Linked DNA regions of Alligator mississippiensis. The protein of the gene in region 3 interacts with the protein of the main gene of each other region in a pairwise test. Links are inferred from orthologs where the notes say so. Each region holds a gene or a part of one and is shown on either strand. Other genes may lie near its edges. The genes, in order: PPP1R18, MAPKBP1, TEX11 and EFHC1.

Region 1 (7,954 bases), on a different chromosome or scaffold from region 3:
GATGCGTGCAATGCCCTGGGCCCTGCTCACCTTTTTGCGGTGGGGGTCGTTCTTGGCCAGGCAGGACCTCTGCAGGGACAGGTACCCTCCGATCACCTGGATCTCCTCAGCCGTGGGGTACCGCTTCTTCACCGGCGCCATGGCTGCTTTGTCTGACCCTGGCACACCCTCGATGCCATTCTCCACGGTGGGCGCCGGCACCGGGGCCTTGCGTGGGTTGATGGTGATGGTGTTGCCGCTCCGGCGTTGCACGGCTGGGTGTGGCACCAGCGACACCCCTCCCAGCTCCCGGGCTGGTCGGGCCCCCACACGCCTCATGGCCTCCCCGTCGCCTGGCTCCTCAGCGCTGGCTGGCGGGGGCGTCTGCTCACAACTCAGGGAGGAAGCAGAGCTGAGAACAGCCACGGGCTTTGGGGGAGGAGAAGGAGAAGTGCCGGTTTCCTGCCTGGGTTCGGCGGCGTCGGAGGAGGGGGGAGGGGAGCTGCTGGCCCGCCGCGGCACCACCATGAAGGAGTTGCGTGACTGCAGGCGCAAGCTGGCCAGGGCCTTGGCCTGTGTGTCGGCATCAGGCTCCAGCATGGCTGCTGGGCCTGGCTCCAACGCCTCACCTGTGCTCATCACATCCAGCAAGGTGGCCTTCAAGTCCCAGCCTCCCCTCTCTGGAGAGGCAGCCTCCTTGCCCTGTGGGCTTGGCATGACTGTGTTTGGGCCACTGCCATCGTGCCTCGCGCCCCACTCTGGGGAGAGGGCCTCCTTGTCCTTTAGGCCTGGCCCCGCAGCCACTGAGCCACCACCTCTGGGCTGGGCCCCGCTTTCTGGCAAGGCGGCCTCGGTGCTTTGGGGACCGGGCGCTGCTGCCAGCCGATCACCGCTGCTAGGCCTAGCTCTCCTCTCTGGAGAGGTGGCCTCCCTGCCTCGTGAGCCTGGTGGTACCGTGCCCGCCGCACGACTGTCACTGCCAAGCCGGGGCCCCCTCTCTGGCGAGGCTGCCTCTTGGTTCCAAGACTTGCCAAGCGAGAAGCGCCGTGGAGGGCTCTCCAGCCAGGCCTCGCCACTAGACCTGGCTTCAAACTGATTGCGGAAGGAGGCCACCGTGAAGAGGGGCGCTTGGGGTGGTGCGGAGGCGCCAAGCCCTGGCAGGTCGCAGGATGGGCTGGAAGACCTGCCATGCTGCCGGGCCAGGCCAGGATCCAGCTTCCTGGTCTCCAAGGGGTGCTCATAGGAGCCATCAGCAAGGTTCTCAGTGCTGAGGGACCTGACCGGGCGCTGGGGCGGCCCCACACCGCCACCGCCACCGTCCTGGCTGAAGTGGCTCAGCAGCTTGCTGACCCGCCCACGACGCTGCTCTGGCCGCGCCGACTGGTAGCCCACATCCCCGTGCCCCTGGCCACAGGAGTTGAGGTCCTCCGCACTGCGGCTCACGGTTGACTTGACGATGAAGACCTCACCCGCCCGGATCTCCGTCACGCTCCCGCCCGGCCGCACCAGCAGCTCATTCAGGGACTCCACGCTGCCAGATTTCACCTCCGCTGGCCACCGATGCCGCTCAGCCCCTGTGCCCAGTGGAGCCCCTTCGACGTCGGGCACCGACTCAATGATGATGACGTTGTCGGCCCTCAGGGTGCGGATGCCAGGGATCTGACTGTAGGCGTCCGCCAGCTGCTTGGCCTTGGCGCTGGCTGGGTCGCTGTCCGGTGCCGCTGTTTCCTTGCGGCGCTTCTCCAGCTGGATGAAGGGGTTCTGGTGCACGGGGCCAATCTTCTCCTGCAGAACGGCGCTCTCCTCACTGCTGGGCTCCTCCCCAGGGCTTGGGGCTCCCACCCCAGCCAAGGGGGGCCCAGCTCCTCCACTGCTGCCACCGCCGCCCTCGCTGCTGCCTCCAGGCTCAGAGAAGGAAGTGCTGGAGCCCTGCTTGGCACGGCGGCGCTCGATGATCTCCCGCTTCCATGCAGGCATCTTGGCCATGCGGTCCTGCTGCTCCCGCTCCCGGCGCCGCGCCTCCTCCTCTTCCTTCCGCTTCCGCTCCAAGAGCATCAGCTTCCAATCGGGCAAGGACGAGGGAGCCGACATCGTGGCCCTGGGGTGGGGGGGCAGGCAAGGAAGGGAAAGTTTAAAGGGCAGAAAGGAGGACAAAGGATTGTAAGAGAGAAGAATGGGAAGGAGGAGGGATAGAGAGAGCCAGGGAAGGAGGCCTGATTTAAGAAGAAAGAGTGTCAGGAGGAAAGAGGGATGGTGGAAGGAATGGAGGCTGGGAGAGAGCGGGAAGGGAAGGAAAGAGAGTCAATGATGGAGGAAGCGGTGGGGAAGGAGGGCTTGCGAAAGGAGGGACTGAGAGGCCAGGAAGAAAGGACAGAGGAGGGTGAGGAAGAGAGCGGGCATGGAAGCCGGGCGAGGGAGAGGGTGAAAGAGGGACAGGGTGATGGGGAGGTCGAGGGGGAGGCGGCGCCGGGATCACACGGGCTTCCGGCAGAGAGAGAAAGGAGATGAACCAAATTCTCCCCCCTCGCAGCCGGCTCCGCCTGACAGCCCCTCCCTGCCCGCTGCCGGCGGGGCCTCCTGACAGCCCGGCACGCGGCGGCCGAGCGTCCCCGGGGCCCGGCCGGGAGGCCACGCGCTCCGGAGCCCGACCCAGCCTGCAGCCCGGCGGGGGCAGGGGCAGGGGCAGGGGCCGGGGCAGGGGCCGGGCGCGGCGCGGGGGACCCCGTCGGGCTTTCCTGGGGTGGGTGGGGGCTCCTTTCAACCCACCGGAGGGGAAGGGGTGCGGGAGGGGGCAGCATAATTACCCCGGCGAGCGGCGGGACCCAGGCGTCCGGGCTGGGAGGCTTCAAGCGCTCCGTGGCTCGCAGGACCCGGGCGTCGGAGTGATGGGCAGGGAGGGAAGGAGGCTCCTTTTGTCCCGGGCGGGGCTCGGGGGTTCCGGACCGCGGGGCAGACGGAACCAGGCGCCCGCCCCGCGCCGGGCAGGCAGGCAGGGAAGGAGGGAGGCGGGGAGGGGGTTCCCGGTCGCGGGAGTTTCGCGGAACCGGCGTGGGGGTGGGGGCAGCCCCGGGGACCCAGGCGTCCGGGGGCGGGCGCCGCGCGGCTGGGCGGGCCCCGATCCGGGGGGCCCCGATCCGCCGGGGCGGGCGCTGCCGCCGCCGCCGCCGCCTCCGCCGGGTCTTTGTGTGTGAAGGCGCGGGGAGACAATGCGGGGCGGGGCGGGCGGGCGGGGGGCGCCGCGGGATTCCTGCACAGCGCCCACGGGCAGCGGCCGCGGCGGGCAGAGGCCGGCACGGATTGACTGCGCTCGACAGAGCCGGGCCCCAGCGCCCGCACCCGGGCAGGCAGGGATCTGCGGGGGGAGGCGGTGTCCTCCACACCCCCCGGCCTCCCCTCCACACCCCGCTCGTCCCCCTACGCGCGCGCGCACACACACACACACACACACACAGCCCCCCTACTTGTGCACCCCCAGCATCTCACACACCCCTCCAGCATCCCCTTACACACACACACCCTCGCGTCCTACACCCCCCACCCTCCTCCTATGCACATGCACACACACATACACACACCCCAGCATCCCCCTACACGCGCGCGCACACTTTCCTGTAGGGTTGGCAAGCTGGTCAACTGACCACATATTTTTTTGCCCAAAGATTATAGTGATTTTAGGAATATATATTTGTATGTTTCTTGATGGAAACAAGATTTTTTTTTACTGTTTTCTGACACACTTTATAATGGAAAATTTGTGGTTTTTCTGCATCGTATTTGGACCTGTTGACATTTCTGGGGGGTGTTTTTTGTTTTGTTTTCTTTTTTACAATAGTTGATGGATATTTGACAGGTCAATTAAACAAGCTGTATTTGACAGGTCAAATACCTAACTTTGCTTTGCTCCTTGTTCACGTGGTTCCCCAGCCAGACACGCGTGTCACACAGGCTCCTTACAGCCCCCACTCCCGCCCCTGGCTCTCCATCCAGGATGTGAGCTATGCACGGCCTGACCCACTGAGAGGGGAAGCCAAAGCCTAGGGCAGGCCTCAGCCCCCCTGTTCCCAGCAATGTCAGCTGAGGCCTGCTCTGCTTAGCTCTGACCACCAAGGGGTGGCCCCTGCCACATCTCCAGCCCTGCCTTTGTGGGAGCATTGCTATACACACAGACTCCAGCGGCCAAGCTGAGGGAACAGACACAGCATCACCTTCACACTGGCACCAGTGGGGAGACATGGGGTGTTGCTCTGGGAGAGTTCATGTAACAACACTCCCCCCCACCCCCCAAGAGAATAAGTGCTGATGGATATCCCAGGTGAAGGCTGGTACCAGCTTGTTCCACGGTACAATCATTTCTGAACTCTTCATGTGGGTAGCCTCAACACCTTGGGAAGTGCTTCACTCAGCTCTGTCCCACAGTACAGACACCTCCCATCCTAACACCCCCAGTTTCAGCTCTCTTCTTACCATCCCCTGGAGCATTAGCTCCAAAAGAGAAAGGAAAGAGGGTGATACTACACCCACAGTCAGTGCGGGTCCCTGGTACAATGTTCCTAGACTGCTATGCGGCGAACACTTGTCTTCCCTAGGGTAGCCCCTGCTGCTGTGTTGGCACAGTTCCTTAGTGAAAAAGTGTATGCCAACAGGACTTTTTCACGGCTGTAGAACAGGGTGGCACCAACCAGGCCTTGGTGCAGACACAGCTCCACCAGCAAAGACATGTTTTCTGCTGCGCACCGTGAGCTGGTGAGTCAGCATCTCCGGCAGAGCTGCTGGTGGCACAGCTCTGCCCATCAGGGGTCACATCCTGGACTGACTCAGCCTTGCCAAAGAAAGGTTGCAATGGGGACAGAGTGGCAGGTGGGGAAGTAGAGGACGGGGCAGGGGGGAAGTCACACAAAAACACTGATGGGGGAAGGAGGGAGACTGATCTGGGAGTAGGGAAAAGGGGTCCCAGGGATACAGGTGGGTATGGAGAGGGAACATTAGGGTAGCATGGGCAAGCTGCCCCATGACCCCGTGTGTGTAATGCCTTTGGCTGACCAGAACAGGGTGCAGTACCCAGTGCCTGGCATCTCTGTGGCAGCAATGCCCTCTAGTGGGAAGAACAGCAACAGCTCATGTGCTTGTAAAGATGTGCTGACAGGCAGGAGCTAAATTTCCCTCCTTCCTTAGTGCCAAGATGATGCTTTGGGAATAGGAGGACCCGAACTTTCTGCCCCAAGCTCCCTACCACGTCTAACAGCCCAGATGAAAAGCATGCAATCAAGAGATGGATACCCCAGACACTTTCATTCCAGGTATATTGCAGAGAGTGAGACAGAGCACTGCGATACGGCTTGCTGGCTGCATACCCAAGTGTTGCCCTAAGCCAGGCACCACCACCCTCCCTGAGCTGCGGAGAGAACCCAGGAGTCCTGCCCCATGCTGTGCTACCCGTCTCACAGAAACATGTTTGTAAATGCAATAATTCTCTTTAGTTATTTATTTGTTTGTTTGTTTTAAACTAGCCTTTTCCCAGATCACTCAAAAACCCAAGATACAAAAATACTTTATCAGCTTCAGGTTCAAAACAAAACAAAACAAAAGAACCAAAAAAACCCCCACATGCACAAAAAGGCAGCGTTAAAAATAGAGGTTCTTCATTAAGGCATCGATTAAGGTTGGGGTTGCTTTCCTGAGTCAGAAATAGGACCCAGGTATCCTGAATCCCAGCTCAGCCTCTGCTCTACCCACAGGACCCCCTTCCTGAGTGCTGGTGATGGAACTCAGGGGTCCTGATGCTCAGCCCCTCTGCTCTAACCCATCGGACACCATTCCTCTCCAAGACGGGGCCCAGGGATTCTGGTGGACCCAAAATGTCCCAATCCCCATAATGAATTAAGCATTAAGCTAGAACACTTGCATTAAGCTAGGAGACCTGAACATCAGCAGGCTTTGGATTTTGTGGCACAGTTCCTAGCTAACTTTTAATAGGAGCCTGGCACTCACTGCAGGGAAGAGGCCCTATGTCCTGATCCCCATGTCTTGACTCCCCTGCTCTCCCCACACCTTCAATGCATCCACTGGCCACTGAAGTGTGGGAGGTCAGAGCCAAGGCCCCAGAAAGGGATGGACTTCCCTTCCTATTAATCATCCCTCCTTTCCAGCTCATCTTCATATCACTCGAGCCATTTTTTTGCCTTGTACCTAAATACAGAAGAAACAGTACCCTACTTTCATTTTTAGAAACCATTTTTCAAGACTTTTGCAGCAGAGATTGGCGACACGTCCATCACTATGGGGAAGGCAGTAGGGAAGAGCCCAGGAGTCCTGATTTCAAATGCCTCTGAAACTATTAAACCCAGGGCTCAAAATAGAAGGCAGGAATCCTGACTCTGGACCTCCCCACTGTAACCCAGACTTTACTCCCCTCTCAGAGCCAGGAATTGAACTTAAGGACCCTATGAAAGAAGAGTGTTACAATGGGGGAGGGAGGAGAGAGACCAACCTCTACCGAGCTCTGTAAGGCCAACGGTATCTAGAAAGTGGAGCTGGGCAAGTGGGCTGGGAGCCTGGACTCATGGGTTCTACTGCAGCTCTGGGAAGGAAGAGTGTTCCAGTGGGTCACAGCATGGGGAAGGGAGCCTAGACTCCAAGGTTGCTTTTGCAGGCAGCTGTGACTTCTAGGGACTCAGGAGAGATCCTAACACTACAGTACTAAGTGCAGAGCTAAGGGCATCAGTGCTTGGCAAGGTGGGGGGTGGGGAAGGGCACCACTGCGCCAGACCTCCCCCTAGGTAAAAGCCATCCAGCAGGGTCCTGCTCCCACTCAGCTCTCCTTGCTCAAGACAGGGCCGTTGCGGGCCAGCAGGTCCCCATAGGCAGCTTCCTCACGGGAGAAGACCTGGAACTTCTTATCAAGCTGGGCACGGAGGTAGAGGTAGTCCTGTTGGTCCAGGCTGTGCCCGCAGGTCATGTAGGCGGTGAAGAGGGTGGCCAGCAGGAGGCGGTCCAGGGAGAGGCAGGGCACGGCCCACAGGATGAGGAGAAACTCCAGGTACACGGGGTGGCGCAGGTGGGAGTAGAGCCGCACGGCACGCACCGACTTCAAAGCCAGGGGGTCACCCATGCCCAGGCAGTGGTAATAGACCTGCGGCAGGGCACGGCACGGCATGAGGGCAAAGCAGGTTGGAGCCGAGAGAGGAAAGCCCCCAAGACTGCCCCCCGCGAGCCCAGGCAGTGGTAACAGACCTGGGGCAGGGGACCTGCAGCAGGTTGGAGCCAAGAGGGGAAAGACCCCAAGACTCCTTCCTCCCCCTTTCCACCCCCCCAAGCTAATCCCAGTCCCTGAGCCCCTGGATCCTCCTCCCTCCACCCAGTACCTGCTTGACCCCCATGAGCTCGGCGTAGTCGAAGATGAGGATGATGCTGAAGATGATGAGCCAGGCCACGAAGTGCAGGATGAAGCAGGCCAGCAGCACCCAGGTGGCCCAGGGCTCCGAGCGGGAGGCGTCCCACAGCAGCGGCCCGTCCCGCACCGGCTGCCAGCACCGCATCAGCACCTGCGGGCGCCCGCTCTGCTCAGCCCGGCCCGGCCCGGCCCGGCCCGGCCCCGCCGCGCCCCGCCCCGCCCCGCCCGGTACCTGGAGCGCCAGCGCGGTGCAGCACACGTAGCAGGAGCGGTGCAGCACGCCGAGGCAGCGCGCGGCCCAGCGCTTGGCCGGCGCCGAGGCCATGAGCCAGTGCTGCAGCACGAAGAGCGCCACGAGCCCCAGATCGGCCGCCAGCGCCCGCAGCACGCGCGGGTCCCGCAGCGCCGCCGCCCACTCGCGCCCGGCCGTCGGCTCTGCACGGGGCGGCAGCGGGGTGAGCGCGGCCGCCCCGGGGCTCGCTCGCCCCCCCGCCCCGCCCCCAGCCCCGCTCCCCGCCCTACCCGGCCGCGCCCCGCCGGGCAGCACGGCGCGCAGCGACACGAAGCGAACCAGCTCCACGCCGG
Region 2 (7,343 bases), on a different chromosome or scaffold from region 3:
TGGAGTTCCAAAGAAGATGGAGCTAGACTGTTCTCAGTGGTAACAAATGACAGAAAATGACAGAACAAGGAGCAATGGTCTCAAGTTGCAGCAAGGGAGGTTTAAGTTGGATATTAGGAAACATTTCTCACTAGGAGGGTGGAACAAGTTACCTAGAGAGGTGGTGGAATCTCCATCCTTGGAGGTTTTTAAAGCCTGGTTTGACAAAGCCCTGGCTGGAATGATCTAGTTGGGCCTGGTCTTGCTTTGAGCAGGGGCTTGAATTAGATGACCTCCTGAGGTCCCTTCCAACCCTAATTTTCTATGATTCTATGATCTTTCATCTATAGCCTGAGACAGGATCATCCCTATACAGTGGTGCTCAACCTTTTTCCATGGCTGGATGGGCAGCGCTCTGTCTGTCCGCAGGCCAGATCCCACCAGTGGCCCTGATCTGGCTTTGGCCCTAGTACAATGGGCACCATCTGGCCACGTGGAAGGGGGCAGGGGGGGGTAGCCCCACCACATCCCAGCCCCAGAGGGGAAGGGGATGTGGCCCAATCCAGATGCGGGAAAGGGAACATGGCCTGGCTGCAACCAGGCACACAGGACTTGGGGTTTAGGAATTTGGCAGGGTGATAGTGACCATATTAATGGCCACTGCTCCCCTGCCACCATATTTCCCACCTCATGGAGAAGCCTTGTGGACCACATGTGATGACTCCATACTTGGCCCGCAGGCCAGGGATTGAGTACCCCTATCCCTATGCAAACCATCCTATACAAATCCATCATCTAACCTAGGGATTCTCAACCAGGGGTGCCACAGCACCCTGGAGTACCTTGAGATCCTTTCAAGGGTGCCACTGGGGTGCCACCCAATGTTAGCACTGTGAGGTGTGCAGACCTGATTCACAAGATAAGCCCAGCAATTCGAAATAGAAATCCATAGTTGCAGGCTTTCTCAGTTCTTGGCAACAGAAAAATGGCTTTGTTATTTATCTGCACTCAATAACAGAATTAAAACTAAGAGCTGGCATTTTCCAAGGGATGCACCAAGCCTATCCAAAGATGCCTCACATCTGAAAAGGTTGAGACACCACCATCAACTTTGGGGTACTGCAGGATCATCTCTGCAATTCCCCCTCAGGGCAGTGCCGCTGAGATAAGCCCTTGGTAGGCCTTGGCAGGGAGATGGGACTTGCACTTTTCTCTGGAAGGAGGATGGGGCTTGAATTGTGTTCTGAAGAGGCAATAAGATTTTGTGTGGAGGCAACTGCAGAAGTGAGAGCCTAAGAGGCAAATATCTCCATGCACCAAGACAGCCAAAATGCTCAGTAGTAGAGCCTCATTAGTAGCTGGTGCCTGTTTAAGTATGCAGTTCCTGTCCTACACTCTCCTAAACACAGGGACCATTGCATCCAAGTGGGTGGGGTGGCTAGAAAGTTTACCCCTTCCCCTCTGCTCTGGCCAGCAAATCTGAGTGACTATAAAAGTGTGTGTATGCAGGGCATAGTAGTGAATACAGTCCCCTGTGGGCTCAGAAGGAATTGTGCAACTACACACTGTTTTCCATTCAGGGCTGTGGCTTAAAGCCACAAGAGTCCCAAGGGAGGGTATAGGAGCCCAAATTATACATGGCAAAAACTAAACAAAAAGAGGTAAGATGCAATTGCCACTTACCATGCCTCTCCCCTGCTAAATGCTACACCCTATGTTCTGATTCCCAGTCGCGACCCTCTACCTTCTTCTTCCCCACTTTCCATCTCTTCTGATGGCCTTCTTTCTACCTTCCTTGGTAACTATCCCATCTTAAATGGCTCATTCCAAACCCCAGGTGTTAGAACTGATCACTCAAAAAAAACAAACCAAAAACAAAAACACCTTGTGAAAAGCCTGGTGAACAAAATGAGATTCGTCATACCCCTTAGGTTATGCACTGGCATAATCACAGGATCAGGATACTAACATAGCCTGGTCAAAATCCTGCATATCTGCATATGCTATAAGGAAAGACCCAGAGGTATAACCCAATATATCTTCAGCAGTTCACCAAACTATGCTCCTGTGCTATCTAACCTGGCTATAATGACCAGCAGTAAAAGGGTTCATAATGTCAAAGTTTCTAAGCGCCCTTAGGTTCCTACCTTAATATCTTTGTGAGAAATAATAGAGGCATTTCATCTTTCTCAGAGCTACCCAGTTTCTATGCAGACTAAGACAACACTACTGTATCATTCAGACACATGCAGTACAATTGGAAGAGCTAGATTCTTTGGCCCAAATCCAACTCCACCTTTAGTAAGTAGTGTTTATGTGGCTAAGATAGCAGTGTAAGTGCCATTTGAGGCCAGTAAGGCAGATTTTAGAGCCTGCTCCCTCTGGGAAGCATGGAATCCATGTAAAGTCATAAAAAGTGGAGGAGAACCTTGCCCTCAATAGTGCTTTTGCATTTTGCATTTAATAGTCATTGGATAAAATGGATACATACCAATAAGATAGCTTCTGTACTATCTCACTGAGTTGCACTTCCATGGCTTTGCTCTCCTTAGGACCCCATAGTTCTCCCCTCTTGGCTCCCCAGTAGACCATCTTCAACAGGAGACGTGGAGGATACTTCACAGTAATACTTAGCCCATGGCCTCATGGTTAAGGCATTTTGCTGGAAAGTGGAAACCATAGGTTCAAACCTCCTCTGGATGTGGGGTGGGGCCTACAACCTGGATTTTCTGCTCCCTAGATAAGTGTCCTAACCACTCAAGCATTGTGCTAAAAAGGTGCTCTCCCCTGCCTCTTCAATTTCATGATTGTTTCTGGGGTCTGACAATAAAAGAGAGGAGACAGTAAATGTATGTGTAAGCTTGGGACTTAAATGTCTGATGTCTCCTAACATGAGGGACAGCTGAGATGTTTACCTAGGATAACTTGTTCAACTGCAATTATTTTTTCTTGTTTATGTGAACTCTGAGCACAAGGATACTGAAATATGTGATTGGAAATGTTTGCCTGTTACACAAATTATTTAAATTAAAAGATGGGTGACAGTTTAAATATAAGTGGCAAATTAAGACCTATCAAAAGGGACTAGGGTGAGAGAAATGCTGAAGTTTCTGATAGTTACTTTGCCAACATTTTTCAGGAAATCCAAAACTTTCCCACATGTTTATGTTGTAGAATCTGCTTTATTATTGGAGATTGTCTAGAATAGGCTGGATAAGCACTTGTTTGGGATGGCTTAGGAATAAGGGCTCCTACAAACCCACTTGGACCAGATGACCCTTGAGGTCCCTTCAAACAGTCCAATTCTATGATTCTAAGACAAATAGCCAACATGAAATTTCACAGGTTTTCTCCAGTGCAAGCTAGTACAGTAATGTGCCTGAAATTTTACATTTATTTTCTGATTTTTAAATAATTTTTTTTTCTGGTTTCAGTAAAGTAGCAGATCAAATACCTTTAGTATAACAGCCTTCTCCTGGATCTCACTGCAGCAGAGAACAAGGTAACAATTAACAGCCTCTTGCTGGTCTTTTTGACATGTAGACATACTGACATATAGACATGCCAAGTATTGGTAGCAGTTCAACCATGTTAACATGGTTTCATAGATTTCATAGATATTAGGGCTGGAAGGGACCTCGGAAGATCATCGAGTCCAGCCCCCCGCCCAAAGGGCAGGAAGTCAGCTGGGGTCATAGGATCCCAGCAAGATAAGCATCCAGTTTCATCTTGAAGGTGTTCAATGAAGGCGCTTGAACCACCTCCGGTGGCAGGCTGTTCCAGACCTCGGGGGCTCGGACAGTAAAGAATTTCTTCCTTATGTCCAGCCTGAAACGATCTTGTAGTAGTTTGTGTGCTCTGCCTGCATTAATTAGTATGAAAGGCAATGGTTTTTTTGTGATGTCTTTTATTGGATCAACTATACAGTTGGGAAAGCTGTGTTGGGAAGCCATGCGAAGGGCTGGATCTGCTGGCTCTAACATTAAAACTAGAAGAAATTAAAGTAAAAAAAACAATGCAGAACTTTTGCATCCATCTTAAAAACTAGGATTTTGGTATGAACTAAAGCCTGGGGCATTAGAACTGGCTGCACTACTCAGACTCACCGTCCAATAAACAATTAAATTAAGAGAAACAGGCCTGTATTTTTGGAACACCCAGAATCAAATAGCAAACCCACTAAGCTCACATTGGCTTTGACATGGTACCTAGAATAAACGGCCTAATAATGGCAATCAAGCAGGTAACCTGCTGAAGCTTCCTTCTGCCTTATATAAAAGCCTTTTATTTATATAAAAGACTAAATTATATACATGGATAGCGAATGGAACCACATATGCCTATTGTTATCCTCAGCTTTCTTTCTTATAACCTGCATCCCCTCCCTGTGTTTTACATCTACAGCCAAAAATCTTGGCTTAATTTAGACTGTATATTTTTTCAGGACCAGTCTCTTAAATATGTTGCCACTGCCCAGCACAATGCATCCCTAACCCTGACTAAAACCTACAGGTGCTAGTGTAATGAGAGGCACAGGGATTTTCACTCTCACAACTGGGGTCATGGATTTTGCCTCTTCAAAGAGGATATTGCACAATGATTGGCTATGTAATTCCTCTGCAGTTATTTTCTCGAGTTGTGTTGCTGCAATGGTGAGCCTCATATTAGACATCGTAAATACAGAGAAAGAACAAATGCCTGCAAACAAAGCAAGTTATACAGCTGAAAACTTCCCCACAACCTCGGGGAGGGGCGGGGGGGGGGGGGGGGGGTTGTTTAAGAAACATCATCTTGCAAAGAATTCAATAAAACTACTCAAGGATTCAAGGCAAAAGGGACATTTTGTGAATTATTTGAGTCAGAACATGTTTTCCTTGTTGAAATATCCTGATATATGGATCCCACAAAAGGAGAGCACAGACCAGTAAAGTTAGAGCTCTGTGAATTTCACGTCAATGCTATCCTAGCTTTGATCTTGAATTTCCAGCCCATAATGTACATAAAGCTCTTCTTTGCATCAATGGATCAGGCTGGAAATGTAGGATTATGCTCCCTCCACCTGGCTCTTCTCCTGTCACTCTTAGAAAATGTCAGAAGTGCACGCCTTGGCCTTATTAAGAATTGCTGAGCACTGGCAAATTCTGTTTGCTCTTACTAGAGTTGCAGAAGCTTGGTTCCTCTGCAGCTCAGGACACTGATGTGGCTGGGCTATGCACCGTCTTTGTCCTTTGCTTAGATTTTTTTATTTGGATTATATAAGAACAACTCTTCAAAATTCAAGCCATGTATAAAAAGTGTATTCCTGCCCTTGGTACATTTTCCTTATATGTGCGTAAGAGGCATGAAGTGCAGGGTGAATAAACTTCAAGCTTTTTTCAGAAATGTGACATTTCTGAAGATTAGGATGGGGCTGGAGAATGGGTGAGATTTACATTCTTTGGGAGGAAAAATAAGGCCAAGTTTTAAGATACTGAAGTCCAACTCCATATGTAGGCACCTTAAGAAGTGGCCTCATTTGCAAAAGTGTTGGGCACCCAATCTGCTTCTCTCTTCCAGCAAGAGATGTTGAAGGCTCAGTATTTTTGAAAACCGTCTAGACCATCTATTTAAGTACCTAAAAGCTGATTTAAGAGGCTAAGTATAAGCAGGCAGTGATTTTTAGAAATACTGAACAAGTTTAAGCTGGCCTAATAAAAGGCCCAGTCTGTTTTCCCTGTACTTGCTGTGCGTCTCTGTTTAGAAAAAGTAAATTCACTAGGACTCAGTGACCAGGCCAGAAGGGACATGCAGCAGACAGGCAGGTGATTGTTCTGCTTTGTAACTTTCCCTGCTTCATGCCCTGTGATGCCTGAGGATTTTATGTTCCAATGGAGCTGCTTTAAAAGGTACTCAGAACTGAATCATCAGGTCACCAGGGAGGAAGACCTCACTTGCTCTCACCACTAATGCAATGTCCTAGGTTACTTTGCTGGGAGAAACACAGGCTTTGTAGCACAGAACTTTGGAGCACAGATCAAGTTCTGTTGTCATAGCTACAATCAGCCAGGGGCTTGAAATCAGCATACCCTCTAGTTCACCTTTTCCCAAGCTATGGGGCATACCCGTGTGCCAGGGCCCAAAAGGTTCCTAGGCAATCAGTGGTGCCCCACCCCAAATTCAGTTGCCACCCGCCACTTTCCTCTCTGCTGATTCTCTTGCCCCCACCCTGTACTTCAGCTGCTGCTCCCACTTCCCTTCTGAGAAATGCTGGTGACTGAAGTATAGGGGTGCAAGAGAAGGACATGAATAAACTTCATGTGCCTATGATGGGGTGCATACCCACAAGGGTAGGGAGATGCTGCTGTAGCTAATGTAGCTATACTGGCAAGATCCCCTCCCCGCCAACACCATCTGGATATAGCTATGCCAGAAGAGGGCTTAGCTCTTTTTCATCCAGGAAGGTAGTATAACTATCCTGTGAGAAAAGCCTCTTCTGCCATATGCTACATCTTCACTAACATAGCTATGCCAGCAATAGCCCCATAATGCAGACAAGCTCCAGTCCCACATTCAAGGCCATGTCATGCAACCCACAGGGCTTATTACAGGTCCAGAAATTTGGCAGCAGGGAAGCAGTAATTAATACCCCCTGCTCCTCTGTTGCCAATTTTCTAGACCTGTGGGCTAGATGACATAGCTCTGCAGGCTGCATCTGGCCCATAGGCCAGAGGTTGGGCACCACTGCTCTGTAACAGCCAAGAGCAAGGATCAGACCACTGGCAGCTTCTCTGCCATCCACCCTGAGGTGCACGTGCCAAGCAAAATGTTGGAGGTTGCCTACCCCACGTGTACAAGCTGAGGGCTGTAAGTAACAACCTCAAATGGCATCTTTCAAGTGACACGTCTCTCAAGAAACAGACTAACTCCTATCCTCACCAAGGTCTTGCAGCAGACCCAAATGCCTGCTGTGCCACATCAATATAGACCACATCATCACTGGACCAAATAACAAGGAGTATAAAATATCTGAGGTTCATTCACCTACAAGTCTACCAATGTCATCTACACCACCACCTGCTTACAATGCCTCTTTGCTGTCTACATTGGACAGATCTTACATGATTTCTTCATGTAAGAATGAATGAACACTGATCTGACATCAGCTGCAGAAAGAAACAATGGCCTGTGGCAGTACACTTTAATCTCCCTGGACACTCCATTGCTGACCTCAAGATGGCTGTTCTCAGGCAGCAATATTTTAAAAAGCAGTTTGAACAGGAAAATTGTAGAACAAGAAGTTATCCATAGCCTGGGTTGCATTAAGTATGGTTTAAACAGGGAGCATGGATTCTTACTCATTACCTGGGTTAGCTTTGTTCCTATAA
Region 3 (7,347 bases):
TTCACCTCCCTTACATCCATCATTGCGTAATAGGGCTGGAGGGGGTTGAGAGGATCGCCCTCTAGATCCAACCCCTGGCATGAACACTACTCCTAAATCATGTATATCTGATGCTTATCCAATTTCTTGAGAACTTCCAATGAAGTAGTTCACAAAATCTTTGTCTGCTAACATTTCCAAGCAAGATTTTGACAGGGATATTTAAAAATGGGAGAAGTTTGCAACTTTATTTGTAAATCATCCTTAACTAGGATTTTGGAGGAGGGGAAAAACCAAGAACTAAATTTATAAGCTTTTACACAATTATCTCTTCTATTTTGATTAGGTATGAACTATAAGCAATCAAAAAGCCAAGACTCCAAAAGTATTAACTCATTTACAATGCATCTACAGTTTATCATTTAGGTGGACATTTAAAATTATGACTAGTAATCACTAATCAATGTGAAGCACGGGAAAGATTTTTACTAAGAAAACTTCAGTGTTTTTATATTGCGATTTTGGAGTGTTTGTATTTACAATTTTAACATCTTCATTATTCTTTTCTACATTTATTTTACTATTGTGCTTTTTTTAGTCTTTTTGCATTGTTAGATTCAAAAGTAAAAAGTCACAGCATCTCATTCATGTCAGTAGTGTTGACATTTAAATAAGGATATTTTGCCTCAGAATTCAAAAACATTAATACATATCATTTTGAAGGACAGGTGGAATCCCCCACTTGCCAGTTGCTAATGTTTACTATTCTAATATTTACATTTTTTTTTTTTTAGAAACACCTCTACTTTCTTCAAATGTGCTAATGGAGAAGTAGAAATGTTATAGTGTATGCTCTATAGTTATACAAAACATAAGTAAAACATGCAAAAATGTAAGTGCTTTTATAGATTCTCAGTACTATGACAACTCATTATCTGCACCAGCCAATGAGCATTCAAACTGCAGTAGATACTGCTTGCCTCCACCTTGGCTGTAAGAACAGACTGTTTTTAAATATCCAGCTTTGGGATCCAACAGTCCCTGGCCTTCTACCTCAGCCTCCTGAATCTCGTCCTCTGCCTTCTTATCCACATTTTCTATTTCAGAGAATAGTTTGTCAATGATCTCAGGAACGTTGGATGGGGCGTCTCTCTTCAGCAGCTCTTGAACAAGCTCTGAAAAATAAGGTGCATGAGGCAGAAACGGAGTGAGCACCATACAAATGTTATGAGTAGCACATCATCTCTGAACAAGTCTGTACAAGCAAAACCCATTGGTTTACATTTTCTTCATATTTTCCTGGCTAATAAAAAAGCACAAACAAGGAGACCAAGAGAAGCTGAACAAAGTAACTCCTGAGAAACAACTCTATTCTAAAGAAAATTTATTTTAGTTAAGGCATAAGGCTATATTCTGCTAAACTGCGGCAGTGAAATCTACATTTGTCAAAGGAACTAAACATAAGTAAAGAGTGCAGAATGTGGCACATCTTATCTGTGAATAAAATGTCTGCTTCCCCCAAGTCTTTTGTTCCCTCCTAAACAACTTTTATTCTTGGGCCCTCTGAAAGTATAATGTACACAACCTGTATTCAGGATCTTTGATACTGGTAAGCCAACGCCAGCGCTTCCTTTGAGGATCATAGAACAACCTGCCACCACCGATTCTAGAATCCTAAAACCCCCATGCATCTTTATAAAAAGAGAGAAAACTGCTAAATCTTTAAATCCCTGCCCTTGGCTTAAAAGGAAAAAGTCGGACTTGATCAGGTGCTCTCTTAACCACTCTCAGAATGTGGAAGGAATGAGGTTGCTTTAGTGGGTAAATCCCTTACAACGGCAGCTGGAAACTACTCCTCAGAGCAGTTTAGGGGACCAAATAAAACCATATAAAACCTTTTTGCCCTCCCTTGTCTCCAATTCCATAGTTTTTCACGTGCTAGCTTAAATATCTACCCCCAGTTGGGCAGCCAGTAGCAGCACTACACGGTACAGACATGAGAGCCCAGTACCTTGCTAACAAAAACCCTGACTCTGGTCCAGGAGCAAAACGAATCCCTCCCGCACCTCTGCCCCAGTCACTATAATGTTTGTTTTACTCAAGTCGACGGAAAGCTCCCTGTAATCTCTGGCAAGAGAGAATAGTTTTAACTTCCAAAGACATCAAAAACAATAACGTGAAAAGGCAAAACAAGTTTTGTCCAAGTCTCTTAACTGATGAACTCAGGAACACACAAGGCTCTGCAGCCACTGCGAGTTTCACAAGTTACCTTATTACATATTGTCCTAACAAAAATGAATCTGTCGACCACATTTCCTTTCCTGTAATCCTAGCACGCCAGAACTAATCACGCATTACTTTTAATTGTAAGTTACGTAACAGAGCGTGCCCTTTTCCTTGATCGGGAACAAGTTATCAAGTACCTATTTTAGACTCCAAAACTAAAACAAATACAGGTTGCTATTTCCTCTGCAGCCGTGCGCTCAGCTCAACCGGGTACAGGGCGAGACACGGCCTTCACGTCGAACGTTACGCACTGGTCGCTAAGCTTTTGGTTTAGGGCCAGAAGTATTTCACCCGGGGCGGGGCCCCGGCAGCCGGAGGCGTCCCGCTTCACGGCACATCTCCCCTGACGACTCAGCCTGTTCCTGGCGGCCCGGCTCCAAGGCAAAGCAGCTCGGCACCACTGAACAGCCAGACTGCCCGGCAGTCGCCGCTGCACCCCCGGACGTGCTGCGTGTCTGCCCAGGAGGCTGCCGGCTCTGTCAGAGCCTGCTCTCGGGACGCCACCGCGCCCGGCGCAGCACGCAGCCCCGACGCCAGGGAGGCAGACGCACGCCACTGTGACACTGGAAAACCCTGCCGGCCTCCCGTCTACACCAGACACAGCTTTTCGTATCGGCTGTAACGAGCGCCCCATTGCTCGTCTCCCGGGCGACTCTCCCGGGCGCTCGTCTCGAACTCGAGGCTGTCCTGCAGCACGGCGCTGCGGTGGCACCGGAGCGCCGTGGGAGCAGAGACGGCGCGGGAGGGTTTCTCGGGGGAGCTCTTGCTCTTCTCGGAGGCGGGAAGCCGGGCGGCGCTGCACTGCATTGCACTGGGAGACGGAGGCTGGCGAAGGGGGGTGAGGTGGAGAAGCGGGGTGCGCAGGGCCTGCAGTGAACCAGGCCGCCCCCAGCAAGCAGGGCCCCTCACCCCGCCACACCAGGCTGCAAACCCTCGGCGGGCAGGGGAGGGAGGCGCTACCTTGCAGGGCGGGGAGGCTGGGGGCGCCCGCCATGCCGCAGCGCCAGGCTGCTCGGGCCTGCCCCAAGCACGAGGCAGCGCCTGCGCCTCACACCCCGCTCCTCGCACCTCAGCGCCTGGGCGCGCGAGGTATGCCGGGACACGCGCCTGGCTTTCGCGCCTGGCGCGAAACTACAGCTCCCAGCGCCCCCCGCGGCCGCGCACGCGCACTTCCGGCGCGGCGGAGGCCAGCCCCACGCGGCGATTGGCTGGCGGGCAGGGCCCTCCTCCAATGGGGGCGCCGCCCCGCCTCTCCTTGCGGAGTGGCGGGCGCTGGGCCCAATGGGGTGGGCGCGCGGGCGAGCGGGGGAGGGGCGGTTCCGGCGGCGCTGCGCCGGGGCTAGAAGGGCGGGAGGAGCCGGCGCGTGCTGCGGCGCCATGTCGGGGCTGCTGGGCACCTCGCTGGGCGGCCTCAGCAGCGACTCCTACTGCGACATCAGCCAGTACCGCGACCAGCACTTCCGGGTGCGCCGGGGGACGTGGGGCAGGGCTGGGGAGGGGGTTGGGGTGCGGCGGGCTGTGGGGGAGGGGATGGGGGTAGCCGGCCCCCCCGCGCTGACGCCCGCTGTGCCCCCAGGGGAGCCGGTACCTGCAGGAGAAGTCGCTGAAGGCGTCGTCGACGCTGTACGTGGGGAACCTGTCCTTCTACACCACGGAGGAGCAGATCCAGGAGCTCTTCTCCAAGTGCGGCGACGTCAAGCGCATCGTCATGGGTCTGGACAAGATCAAGAAGACGCCGTGCGGCTTCTGCTTCGTGGAGTATCCTGCAGCCGCTGCCTGCGCGGCGCGGTGCCCTCTTCCAGGGGCTTCTTTGCTGCCCCTCGCCGGGTCTCAGCCCTTTCCGCGTGTGGGACGGGGCCAGGCCGGGTGGGACCGCTGCTCGTGCTGGCGCGCGTGGTGTCTGGCCGGCGGAGGGACCGTGCGGTCGGTGCGTTGCTCCGGGCGGGGGTGTCCCCCGCGCTGTGCCGGCCCGGTGGGCGGCTGTCGTGGCGGTGCCCATGCACGGCGCGCATCGCAGTGCGTGCGATCACCGACCGACCCGCGCAGTAGCATCTTCAGCGGCCGCGCACGGGCAGCTAAACGAGGCGTCTCCTACAAACGAGGCTCGAAGCGGGGCTGATGCAGCTTGAAGTCCTGCGTACAAATTCAGCACGCGCTGTCCCGGAAAGGGGCACGTGTAGCGCCCTGGGGGCAGCGCCCGGCCTCTCCCTGAAGCGAGGGACCCCTCGCTGTTGCTTTCGCTGTGCCAGAGCTGAGACGCACGAGCGCGGCCTCGCGCTGCGCTGGGAGGGGACTGGAGCCAGTTAGCGTTTGGGTCTTGAGTTGAAAGTCAGGGTTCCTCCATGCCATATAAAATTACTCTCTCTTTCTACCTCCCTACCCAGCAGAACAGCACCTTGTATTTTCCTTATAAGTTATTCCAGATATTACACAAGAGTGGAAGCTGAACATGCAATGAGATTTATTAATGGCACCCGTCTGGATGACCGCATTATCCGGACAGACTGGGACGCAGGGTTTAAGGAGGGCCGGCAGTACGGGAGAGGAAAGACGGGAGGACAGGTAAGCAACAGACCAACGTCAGTCTAGAACATGGCTCCCCGGGGCTCAGCTGGGTGCTGCTCACCGTGACTGAGCCAACACAAAGCAAGAGTAATGCAGCGTAGACCCAATAACTGAACTAAAGCCGGTCAAACTGGTTTAGTACCTGATGCTGGACTGGAGTAAGTGATTGACAGTTGCTGCTGCTGAAGAGCTGGGTTCCCGGCTCCTGAGGGCGCAAAGTGAATGTTGCTCTGCTGTCAATGAGATGCTGTCAGATTGATGGAGGAAACAAGCAGGGAGGAAGAAACGGTGCTCGGGAAAGACAAGTGCTAGTCTGGGATGGTTGACACAGATGACTCTACCTCAAGCAAGGGGCTTGCCCTAGATGTGACCCCCTGAAGGTCTTGCCAGCCCCGTGTTTTTGTTGTGTGGTTGCAAGGGCAGTCTTGTCAGACGGGATGCGCCAGTGGGAAGATGAGATTCATTCCCAGATTTCAGAGGGTTCAACCTTGACAATCCGTCAAGCCAGACTGCAAAGCCAAACTGAACAGTGTTTGGACTGTTTTGTATTGCTTTGACATTCAAAACAGCCCCACACTTGTCCTGTCCCTGTTGTGATGGGGTGTTATCAAGCGAGTTGAAAAACATGAACTTGCACCCTGGCTTTCAGCCCACCAACTGCTGGGGTGAGGTGGAGAGGAAGCTGGCTCCTAAAAGCGTTGTGACATGTAAGTAGGTGGAGGGTGTTAATGCCTCCTCTTGCTCTGCCCCCAGGTGCGAGATGAGTACCGGACGGATTATGACGTGGGGAGAGGTGGCTTTGGCAAGATCATCCAGATGCAAAAGGCGAATCAGCAGACTATGATCTACTAAGTGCCTCATTTGTCCTAGCACAGAGAAGGGCACTGGTCCTCCATAGATAGCCCTGTCCTTGCCCTTTGGACTGGGATGGGGAGCAAGGTCCAGGTTCCAGGACGAAGTGATCCTCCTTAGACTGGCTGTCTACATTTGCTCATTCCCCTTCCCTTTGGGATAGAGAGGCTGTTCCCTGCTAATGCAGGGCAGCAAGGGAACAGCGTGGCCAGCTCTGCAGGATTCTCTTTAAGGACAAGTGCAGCATGGCACCCAGACCCTGGCAGCAACTCACTCCTCTTGCTCTCTCTGGCACAGCTGGCTGCCTCCAAGCTGTTCTTCCAGCCACTGTTGTTTCCCTCAAGTTCAAGCTTTGAGAACTCATCAGCCATCAAAGCTGTCTCACCTGCCCAGGCACAGGCAGGAGTTTCAAGTCTACCGTTTACATTGTCTCCTGCTGTTTTAAAGCACTGTTGCTGGCTTGGGTTGGAGAAGCATAATCAGACTGTACTGGCCAGTGCAAGTGGTGCCTGCACTTCTATCCCTGGGCTCAGTCAGACCTGCAGAGTCCCTGTCCTCGCCGTGCCCTTGGCACTGCCTAGGTGGGGCACAGTCTCCCAGTTACTGTGTGGTTTTTGTTAAGTGTCTTTTGGGTTTTTTAAATAAACGTATAATCCTGTCTCTGCAGTCTGTGCTCTGGTGCTGTTTACCTGTGACGGGCCTGGGGGGCACATCCTGCATGCTAAGGGATGGATGCCTGCATTTGTCTGAGCTTCCCCTTGGTGTGGGTGTCACTTTTCTTCTCGTGTTTATTCCTGGTTGAAACAAGATGGAAATCAGCAAACTAGTGCTCCCGTGCTCCCATCCAGGTGAGTGTGGATAACTTACTACTGTGACTTAATTCACCATGGTTCCTTTACTTCCCACTGCTTGCCCATTCCCAGTTATCAACTGATAACGGGTCACTGCTGGGTAATTCACCATTATCTGCCTTCCCCTTGGCCTGGGGAACTAGCCAGAGGTCACTATTCTTAATGGCCCTGCCCTGCCTCCAAGCAGTGTCGGGTCCTCTGTGGTGCATACAGCTACATGAGGGCCCAGCCTGTGCTTTAAGGTCAGCCCAAGAACTTAGAAAAGTAAGCCCGGCACTCATCCCCAAGCCCCTTTGCAAGGCTGCCCAAATTCAACTTAGCTAATGGTAGGAGACTCCTGTAAGAACTGCTTCCCCCTCAAAGACAGCACAGCTGAGCGGACCTGTACCTGGGGTCTGGGGTGCTATATGCCCCTCCTGTGTTGCACCAAGCCAGAGCAGAACCCCGCAGCTGCGTACATCACGCCCTTGCTCAGAGCTGGCTTGGGATCATGCAAACACCAGCAACTTCTGCTCTGTGCAGTGCAGCCACAGCTCTGCAGAGCCCTCAAGTGCCAGAGGATCCTCTGTGGCTTGTTTGCTGTAGGCCGTGCTGAGCCTTTGGGAAAGGGTGGGATGTAACTGAACTCGTTTAAAGAAATCCCCCACTTACCTGGGAGCAGCTCTCTGTCTCAAGGGGGTCTCTGGGCTCCAATGGGAACCAAGCCTGCTTCTGGCTGCAGCTGGTACAGACCAGGCATTTGGACAAGGCTATGCTTATAGCTCAAGTCGCCACAAAGCCCTGACTCGAAGGGGTTTCACATTGAATTCTTAAG
Region 4 (7,460 bases), on a different chromosome or scaffold from region 3:
ATAACTGATCTAGTGGTTTATAGTGTCTAACAGCGACCTGGTTGTAAGAGGCTGAGCCCATCCATCTTCAGTGGGTTGCCTATGGCTTGTGAACCCATGAAACTAGGGGCCTGGCCTTAACTAGTAGAGATCATAACAGCTCTGCTGTAGCCATTGGATTTATGCTGCTTAACACTAAGGATGCCAGCTGGCCCGGTGTGCATTGCATTCAGGATTTTTCCAAGGGGAATGGGAGATTTGGGTTAGAAGCAGCCTCTTCAGACCTGGTGAAGAGGGCATGGTAGGTAGCTTAAAGGTGCATTTCCATCAAAGGCTTTACATAACAGAACAGGGATATATGCTGAAGCCCCACACGTGCCTTGGTATTCAAAACTCTTACTGATGATGAGCATTGCCTCCTGCCAAGCTGAAAACTACTAAACATGAATATATTGGGGTTCGTCCGTTACCTGGGAAGCGACAAGGGGTGCGAGTATCACACACCAGCTGTCCTCCCCACCTATCCTGAATTTTGTATTGTTGAAAACACTGAGAACATCCAAGGCTTTGCACTGTACTGACAACCGTTTAAAATCCCCAGTAAAAGAAAGTTATAAAAGCCGTACGACGCGTGTGATGTGAAATTTGTCAATCCACGGAAAAGCAGGGGAATCCAGGTGGCTGCAGCTGCTGGGTTATTCAGTGGAAGTTTGGCCTCTAAGACCACACATGGAGGAGGAAAAGGAGGAGAATAATAATAATATCATAAAAATGATGCCGTACTTGTCCTTCATTTAGGGCTTGTAGCAAAATTCTGTTCAAGCCTTATAGCTGGTCACTAGCCCCATTTTACAGTTAAGGCACAAATGCTTACACTGGCGTAGGTAGGGAGACAACGGGTGTGTCTGAGTGCCTCCGTGCTGCACCATGACACCCCTGGGCCCACCGGCATGAAGCCCGCCGTGTCCACTTGCTCCTGGTCAGCCTGTGCGTGATCTCAGAAAGGTGAAGTTGCTGCCTTTGAGCAGCCTGGAGCATGTGCCTAGTATCATTAGCTGTGATGAGCTTTAGCTGTGTCCTAGGCCTGCCCGTGGACATTTGCTCAGCTCCGTTGGATGATGGAAAGGTTGCCTCATTTACAGGATCTGACATTTTGAGTAGGAGCGTGCAGGTGGGATGGTTTTCAAGGCCGTGCTTCTGGGTACAGCACAACCCTAAGTGGGAGTTTGTCAGCAGCAGGGCCACGAATAAAGCCCTCTGGCTCGTCTTTCAGGTTAAGAAGAGGAGCTCGTAGACGGTCTCTCACAAACTTAAGTGTTTTGCTGAAGCAAGGCCAGATCTGCAACAGCTACCTGATCATCTCCAACTACACACAGGATGCGTTTCCATCCTGGGGTTTCCTGGTGAGCTCTTAAACCCTGGGAGCATAGTTGGGACCATTTGGCTTGTCTCCAGGGGCCTGAGGGAGGACATATCTCCACCTCCTCCTCCTGCCAAACTGGAGATTAAATTTTTTTTTTCAAATAAAACAGCAAGGGTGTCCATCACTGCTGTATCTTCATGTTTCATCCACGAGATGGCAAGGTTCACTCACCCTGGGCAGCAGACAGCGTGCTGCCTAATGCCAGGACTCCCTTCCAAATGACCTGGGGAAAAATGGTGGTTTTCAAGCAAATACCAAACCAGCACCACAGGATTACACCTTAGTCAAGAGATGTGTTTCTAGGCAAGGGATGTGCTTCTTTCAAGTGTTACCGTTCATAGAAGAAGACCCGAAGGCAATTCGCAGTTAAAGGGACATGCCAGGTCCACTGTTATACTTCTATAAGCTAAAAAATGGAGAGTAGAGAAGAGTAAGGAAAGTTTGGGGTTTGTTTAATGGCAATAATAATGACGGGCGAGGTGTAGCATGGGATTTTTTTTTCTACCATTGTTTAGGATGATAGAAATCCCACCCCACTGAAGCCAGCTGCAACCAGCCCAGCCCCAAGACAGCAAGTGCAGGCAGGAAACCAGCATCCGGGGGGAACTTTTACAAAAGTGCTTTCTGTTCATTCCTGGGGGTGTTAACAGCAGGGGGGGAGGATTTTTGTTTTGGGCACCAGATGCTGCTGCAATGATCATCTTCAGGAAGAGACCACGTCATGGGTCTTTTACCTATGCCAAGTTGTCTGGTCTTCTTGAAGTGAACTGGCATCCAGCATTGGCACATGGTTTAAAGTGCCAGTGGTTTCATTTCACTCTTTCCTCCCAAGTGTCAGAAAAAGGGAAAAAAAAATGAATGTCCTGTGTCACAGCAGTTGTTTGCAGTTCCTACTGCTTTCAGTGAAAGTCCTAGTTGAATGCCTCTGAAAATCAGACCAGCAGCATGCTATCTCCTATGGTGTCAGAAGGGGCAGTCACGACCCGTGTCCAGTTGTTCAATGTCTCCCAGCCCCAGGCTTTGCTCTGATGGGAGGTAACAGTCAGTCCATGAGAAAATGCTCTCAATGTAAATCACCCATTATCAGGATCTTTCTAGATACCTATATCATGTCACAGACTTGCGCACAGCAAGGGGAAAGTCTCACCAGCAACCCCTTGCATTCGATCAATCGGCCACATGCAGAATCACAGTGAAATACAACGTAGTTAGATCACGCGAGGGGCTTAATCACCAATGAAGCATCACACGTCCCTTGTGCCGCTGGGATGTTCATGGAGTTGGACTTTTCTCACTGTCATTCTTTATGGCCATAGCTGCAAGTCCCTAGCAGGATTCAAGTCTCCCTGCATCGGGTGCTGTTTGTGCACAGAGGAAAACAGGCCTTTTTGGCTCCAAAAAGGCTACAAATCCAAATAGAAGGAGATGCAGGAAAGGTTGGCAAAGGTAGCACTGTTGTCACTCTTTTACAGATAACAAAACGGGCATATGGGGGTTAAATGAGTTGCCCAGGGTCGCACAGGCAGCCTCTGGCAGAGGAAGGAACCAACTCCAGATGAACTGAGTTCCCAGGCAGTGCTTTAACCACAAGAGCAGGATTCGTATGCTGCTGTTTTTATTGCCATTCCTCACGTCCTAGGAAAGCATCAATGGTTTAACCCCTGCCCCGACCAGTATACCCAAGAGGAATGTGTTGGGAGCAGGGGATGAGAAGGGATTCACCCAGGCACCGCTGTCGGGGCCCCGTCTCTGCTCTGCCACCAACTTTCCGTGTGATGTTGGGCAAGTCACTTCTTGTCTCGGGTCCCAGCACTGCCCGGCCTCAGAGCGGGGCTGAGAGAAGGGCATGAAAGATTGTGAATTGCTCCGGTCCTTACAGCGACGGACAGGGCTGTATCAATACCAGAACGGAGGCCTGGTAGCTGGAGCGGAGAGACAGCAAGCAAATGCCTGGCTCGTGGCTCCTTTCCAGGCCCTTTTCCTCCAGTACTGTTTGGCCTTGAGTCTATCCATCTCCTTTGGCCACGTTTCTTATCTCAGAACGGCGGGTTTTCTCCTCTCCCTCAACCTTGCCTGCATCTGGAGGAGGATCCAGCTGCATCGCCCGCCGCCCCCTCTCCCCTGCCAGCTTGGCTGTAGCCCGGTGATAAAGACGGACACAATGGCCACCTCCTCTTGCTGCCCCAGCTCCTCCCTGCCCCTCTGATCTGCCCTTCGAGGCTGGGCGAGCAGCTATCCCCCATGCCAGCCTGGACATGCCACGTCTGGTTTTGCTCGGTGGTATGCAAAGCCCAGAGGCGTGGGCACTGCCTGTGGCAAGGCATCGGCATGGCTGCACCTATCACCTTGCACCACCTCCTCCCGGACACCTCCGCTTCCCAGGGGCTATTGCACTGCCTCCTGCTCCAGCAGCAAAGTGCTTCCTGGCACTACTGGCAACCTGCTTTGCTGCAACTTCAAGCCATTGCTGCAGCCTGTGGCACCCCCACAAGTTGCATCCCTGCCAGGCCAGTGGGTGGTGCTTTTGCATGGGTCTACACAGGGGGCACAACCAGGTGCAGGGCGCTGGTGCGTTTGGAAGAGGCCCGGGCTGTACCCTGACACAGCACAACCCTGCTGGAGCTCAGGAGTCCCCACTACGCAAGCGCATGGGAAAGCCGCGCGCGGGAAGCGGGCTGCAGCCGCACTGCGCATGCTCCGCCTGGTTCCCCCTGCATTCGCCGGACTGGTGGGGGGGTGGAACGTGGAATGTTTGCGGGTGCCATGGAGACGGCGTTGCCCGGCGACGGCCCCGGAGCGCGCGCCGGCCATGAGCTCCCGCCCGGCGCAGGGGCTGCCGCTGCTGCCCGGCTTCAGCTTCCTCGACCCCACGGTGAGCGCGGCCCCACGGGGGACCATGCACCCAGGGGACCCCCTGCACCCACGTGGAACTTCCCCTGCACCCCATGGGCCTCCTGCACCCACGGGGGACTCTCCCAGTACCCCACGGGGGACCCCCCTACACTCCATGGACCCCCCCTGCACCCACGGGGACCCCCCTGTGTCCTACGGACCCTGCCCTGCACCCACAGCCCCCCCTTGAACCCCTCTGCACCCCACAGGTGACCCCCTGCACCCCATGGACCCCCCCAGTCCCCATGGGGGAACCCCCTGCACAGGCCACCCCTTGCACCCGATTCTCCCCCTGCATCCCATGGACCCCCTGCACCCACGGGGGACCCCCCTACACTCCATGGACCCCCCCTGCACCCACGGGGACCCCCCCTGTGTCCTATGGACCCCCTCTGCACCCATAGCCCCTCCCTTGAATCCCTCTGCACCGCACAAGTGACCCCCTCTGCACCCCACAGGCTGCCCTTTGCACCCGATTCTCCCCCTGCACCCCACAGCCCCCCTGCACCCACAGCCCCCCCCCGCATCCACACCCCCCCCTTGCAACCATTGCTCCTTGCACCCACAGGCCCCCCTGCATCCCATATTCCCCCCCCCCTGCATCCACAGCTCCCCCTTGCACCCACAGGCATCCCTGCACCCTACAGCCGCCTTGCACCTCATGGCCCCCCCTGCATCCACAGTCCCCCCCTTGCACCAACAGGCGCCCTGCATCCCATGGTCCCCCCTGTACCCACAGGGCCCATCCTCCCACTTGCAGCCCACAGCCCCCTTTACCCCACGGGCCCCTCCCTCTGCTGCACCCCATGGGAAACCGTCCCCCACACCAGTGACCCCAGCACCCCACTGGGATCCAGTGTCTCCTGGCAGCCCAGCCCCAGGGAGGGTGGGCGGGGGGAACCGGCACCTCCAGCCCAGGGACCCACAGGCCTGGGCGGGACCTCGGGTGCTCCTGAGACGGGAGCTCCTGGCCTCGCAGGGCTCCCGGGGGAGCGAAGCCCCTGAGCCGTGCTGGTGTCCGCCAGGTCCTTGGAGACACAGGACGGAGCCCTCCTGGCTTCAGGGTGACGGGACAGAGCCCCTAGATCTGTCCGACACGGCTGGGGCGGTGGCGCTCAACCTTATTGCCCTGTGGGCTGGATGGATGGTGCCCATGGTCCATCCCCGGGCCGGATCCAGCCAATGATCCCCATCCCGGTGTGCAGAAGGGGTTGGGGAACAGCCTGGCCCCGTCCAGATGTGCAGGGGAAGGGGGCTTAGCCTGGCCCTGTGAAGGGTAGGGAGGGCCCTGATCTGGTTGTGGGCTGATAGTCTGGGATAGGGGCCGTGTACTTGCCCCATACCCCCCTCCGACCCAGATATCCCTGAGATACCGAGCTCCCTGTCCCCTGATACCTCCCTGGGGCTGGGACTTTGGAGTAGGGTCCTTGTCTGCCTAATCATCCCACAGGAACCAACACCTGATACCTCAGTGAGAGCTGATGCCCTAGGCTAGGGGACCTCAGGAGCTCCCTAGCCCTCCGTGGGCTCTGCTGCCTTGAGAGGTGGGAACTCATCTTTTTTCCTAGGCAAAATCATGCTTTTCTTCTACCCCGGTGCTGTTGCAGTGGTGGGAGCAGGGCTCCTGGCAGACCTCAGCTAGTGCTTGGTTAAGAGAGGATTGCTCCGAAGTGCTGGGCTAAGGGGCAGTGATGGTCAGGAGACCTGCCTTCTCCTTCTGGCTCTGCACTTTCCCACTGGGTGGCCCGGAGTAAGTCACAACACCTCTCTCTGCCTCAGTTTCCCCAGTTACAATAATACCCTTTTGGAGTAGTAGTATTACTCAAAAGGCAAGGGGTCATTGATGTGCTCCTTTGAAAGACCAAAGGATCAGACCCACCTGGGACCCCCATTGAGCCTTACTGGAGGATCAGTGCCACACGGGTTAAAATCAAGTGTCTCCACTTTGCTTGGAATATCTTCTCCAAGCTCCTCATTTTGGCTTTGATGCTGATTTCTTAGCAGGAAACTGCCTGTCTTGTGGCCAGTGTCATACTTATGCAGGGCTCTGTTAGCATCTTGTCTTGCTTTCACCTGAACAGGCTTTGCTGCTGCTCTGTCACCGCTGGCAGAGTTGGTTTTTAAGTGAAAATGGGTAATGAATGAGATATGCGAGTGAGGTTATAAATCGAATTATGGGCCTGAACGGCAGGGAGGCTTGTTCGTGTGAATGAGACTGGACTGGTTGCTAATTTGGGGCTGGAAAGGCACGTTCTCTTAGTGCATTCGGGAATGTGTCCGCTGCCAGTCCAGGAAAGAGGACGGTGTGTGTCAAAGGCTCTATACTGAGATTCTCCTTTAGACCAAGTGTTAGGGGCCTTTTGAATTTTGAAAATACGTAGAGGCCACCGTGTGCTATGCAGTGACAGTCATAGGGCCCTAAGGGAAGTCTTAAGGTATCCCAAAGGGCCTGGCTTTTCTTTTCCTTTCTCGGAAGGAGGATCCAGTTGGATCAGCTGGCCACATCCCATCTTCTTCAGTGCCTGCAGTTGTGGGGGGTGGGATGTCACAGTGGGTGGACTCCATCTCCTCCCATTGTTTCTTCAGCCGGCCCAAACAGAGCAGGACCACCCAGACAGCACCCCCATTGCTCAGGACTGGGGTGAGAGTCTGGGTGACATCCACAGCCCTGCCACTGACTTGCTATGTGTCCTTGTCACCTCCCTGCACCATCGGTAAGCGTATTGAATAGGAACAGCGGCTCAGAACTATGTAGCTTGGCAGAGCTAATGTCCCCAAAAGGTGAGCTGTCCTAAGGAAGCTGCACCCCACATTGGATAAGAGCAGCAAAAAATAATGAGTCACTGCTGCAGCATTAGGGGCAGGCCAATGTGTGCCATGTGCACGGAGGCAGGGAGGTTTATGGTCACCACAAATAAAGCGCTACTGAGAGTCTTTGCTTTCCTCACCAAACTTTTTACTTGCACGGGCTTTAACCATGCTTGCATACACACTGCATGAATGGGTCTGTCTCCCTCGGGCGTACTCAGGAGACGGCCGGCGGAACAGCTAAGGTTCACTTCATGATCTCTAATGCCACCTTTGGGTATCTGCTGAAGCAAGGGTGTGCCTTGATTTTGCAGGGAGGAAAATATTGTGGTTTTTGTTCCCTAAGAGTTAAGTAACA

Evidence for each region.
Region 1: the proteins of TEX11 (region 3) and PPP1R18 interact in binary tests that used the Homo sapiens proteins (3 or more experiments, as listed by UniProt). The two-hybrid records come from large-scale screens. The link is inferred for Alligator mississippiensis from reciprocal best matches to the Homo sapiens genes TEX11 and PPP1R18.
Region 2: the proteins of TEX11 (region 3) and MAPKBP1 interact in binary tests that used the Homo sapiens proteins (3 or more experiments, as listed by UniProt). The two-hybrid records come from large-scale screens. The link is inferred for Alligator mississippiensis from reciprocal best matches to the Homo sapiens genes TEX11 and MAPKBP1.
Region 4: the proteins of TEX11 (region 3) and EFHC1 interact in binary tests that used the Homo sapiens proteins (3 or more experiments, as listed by UniProt). The two-hybrid records come from large-scale screens. The link is inferred for Alligator mississippiensis from reciprocal best matches to the Homo sapiens genes TEX11 and EFHC1.

What each region holds. Positions count from the first base shown.
Region 1 is NC_081834.1:53,469,862-53,477,815, reverse strand, and holds the start of PPP1R18 (phostensin), read right to left. Parts: upstream 3,291-7,954; 5' UTR 2,784-3,290; intron 2,078-2,783; 5' UTR 2,071-2,077; coding exon 31-2,070; intron 1-30. Other genes in the region: NRM (nurim), read right to left, coding at 6,788-7,108, 7,341-7,520, 7,602-7,804, 7,892-7,954.
Region 2 is NC_081825.1:238,960,067-238,967,409, forward strand, and holds the start of MAPKBP1 (mitogen-activated protein kinase-binding protein 1), read right to left. Parts: upstream 3,332-7,343; 5' UTR 2,471-3,331; intron 1-2,470. UniProt on the Homo sapiens protein: Negative regulator of NOD2 function. It down-regulates NOD2-induced processes such as activation of NF-kappa-B signaling, IL8 secretion and antibacterial response. Involved in JNK signaling pathway.
Region 3 is NC_081831.1:83,090,140-83,097,486, forward strand, and holds the start of TEX11 (testis-expressed protein 11), read right to left. Parts: upstream 3,370-7,347; 5' UTR 3,260-3,369; coding exon 3,226-3,259; intron 1,155-3,225; coding exon 1,033-1,154; intron 1-1,032. Other genes in the region: nuclear cap-binding protein subunit 2, read left to right, coding at 3,643-3,729, 3,842-4,023, 4,689-4,827, 5,584-5,682. UniProt on the Homo sapiens protein: Regulator of crossing-over during meiosis. Involved in initiation and/or maintenance of chromosome synapsis and formation of crossovers.
Region 4 is NC_081824.1:8,953,100-8,960,559, reverse strand, and holds the start of EFHC1 (EF-hand domain-containing protein 1), read left to right. Parts: upstream 1-4,166; 5' UTR 4,167-4,211; coding exon 4,212-4,274; intron 4,275-7,460. UniProt on the Homo sapiens protein: Microtubule inner protein (MIP) part of the dynein-decorated doublet microtubules (DMTs) in cilia axoneme, which is required for motile cilia beating.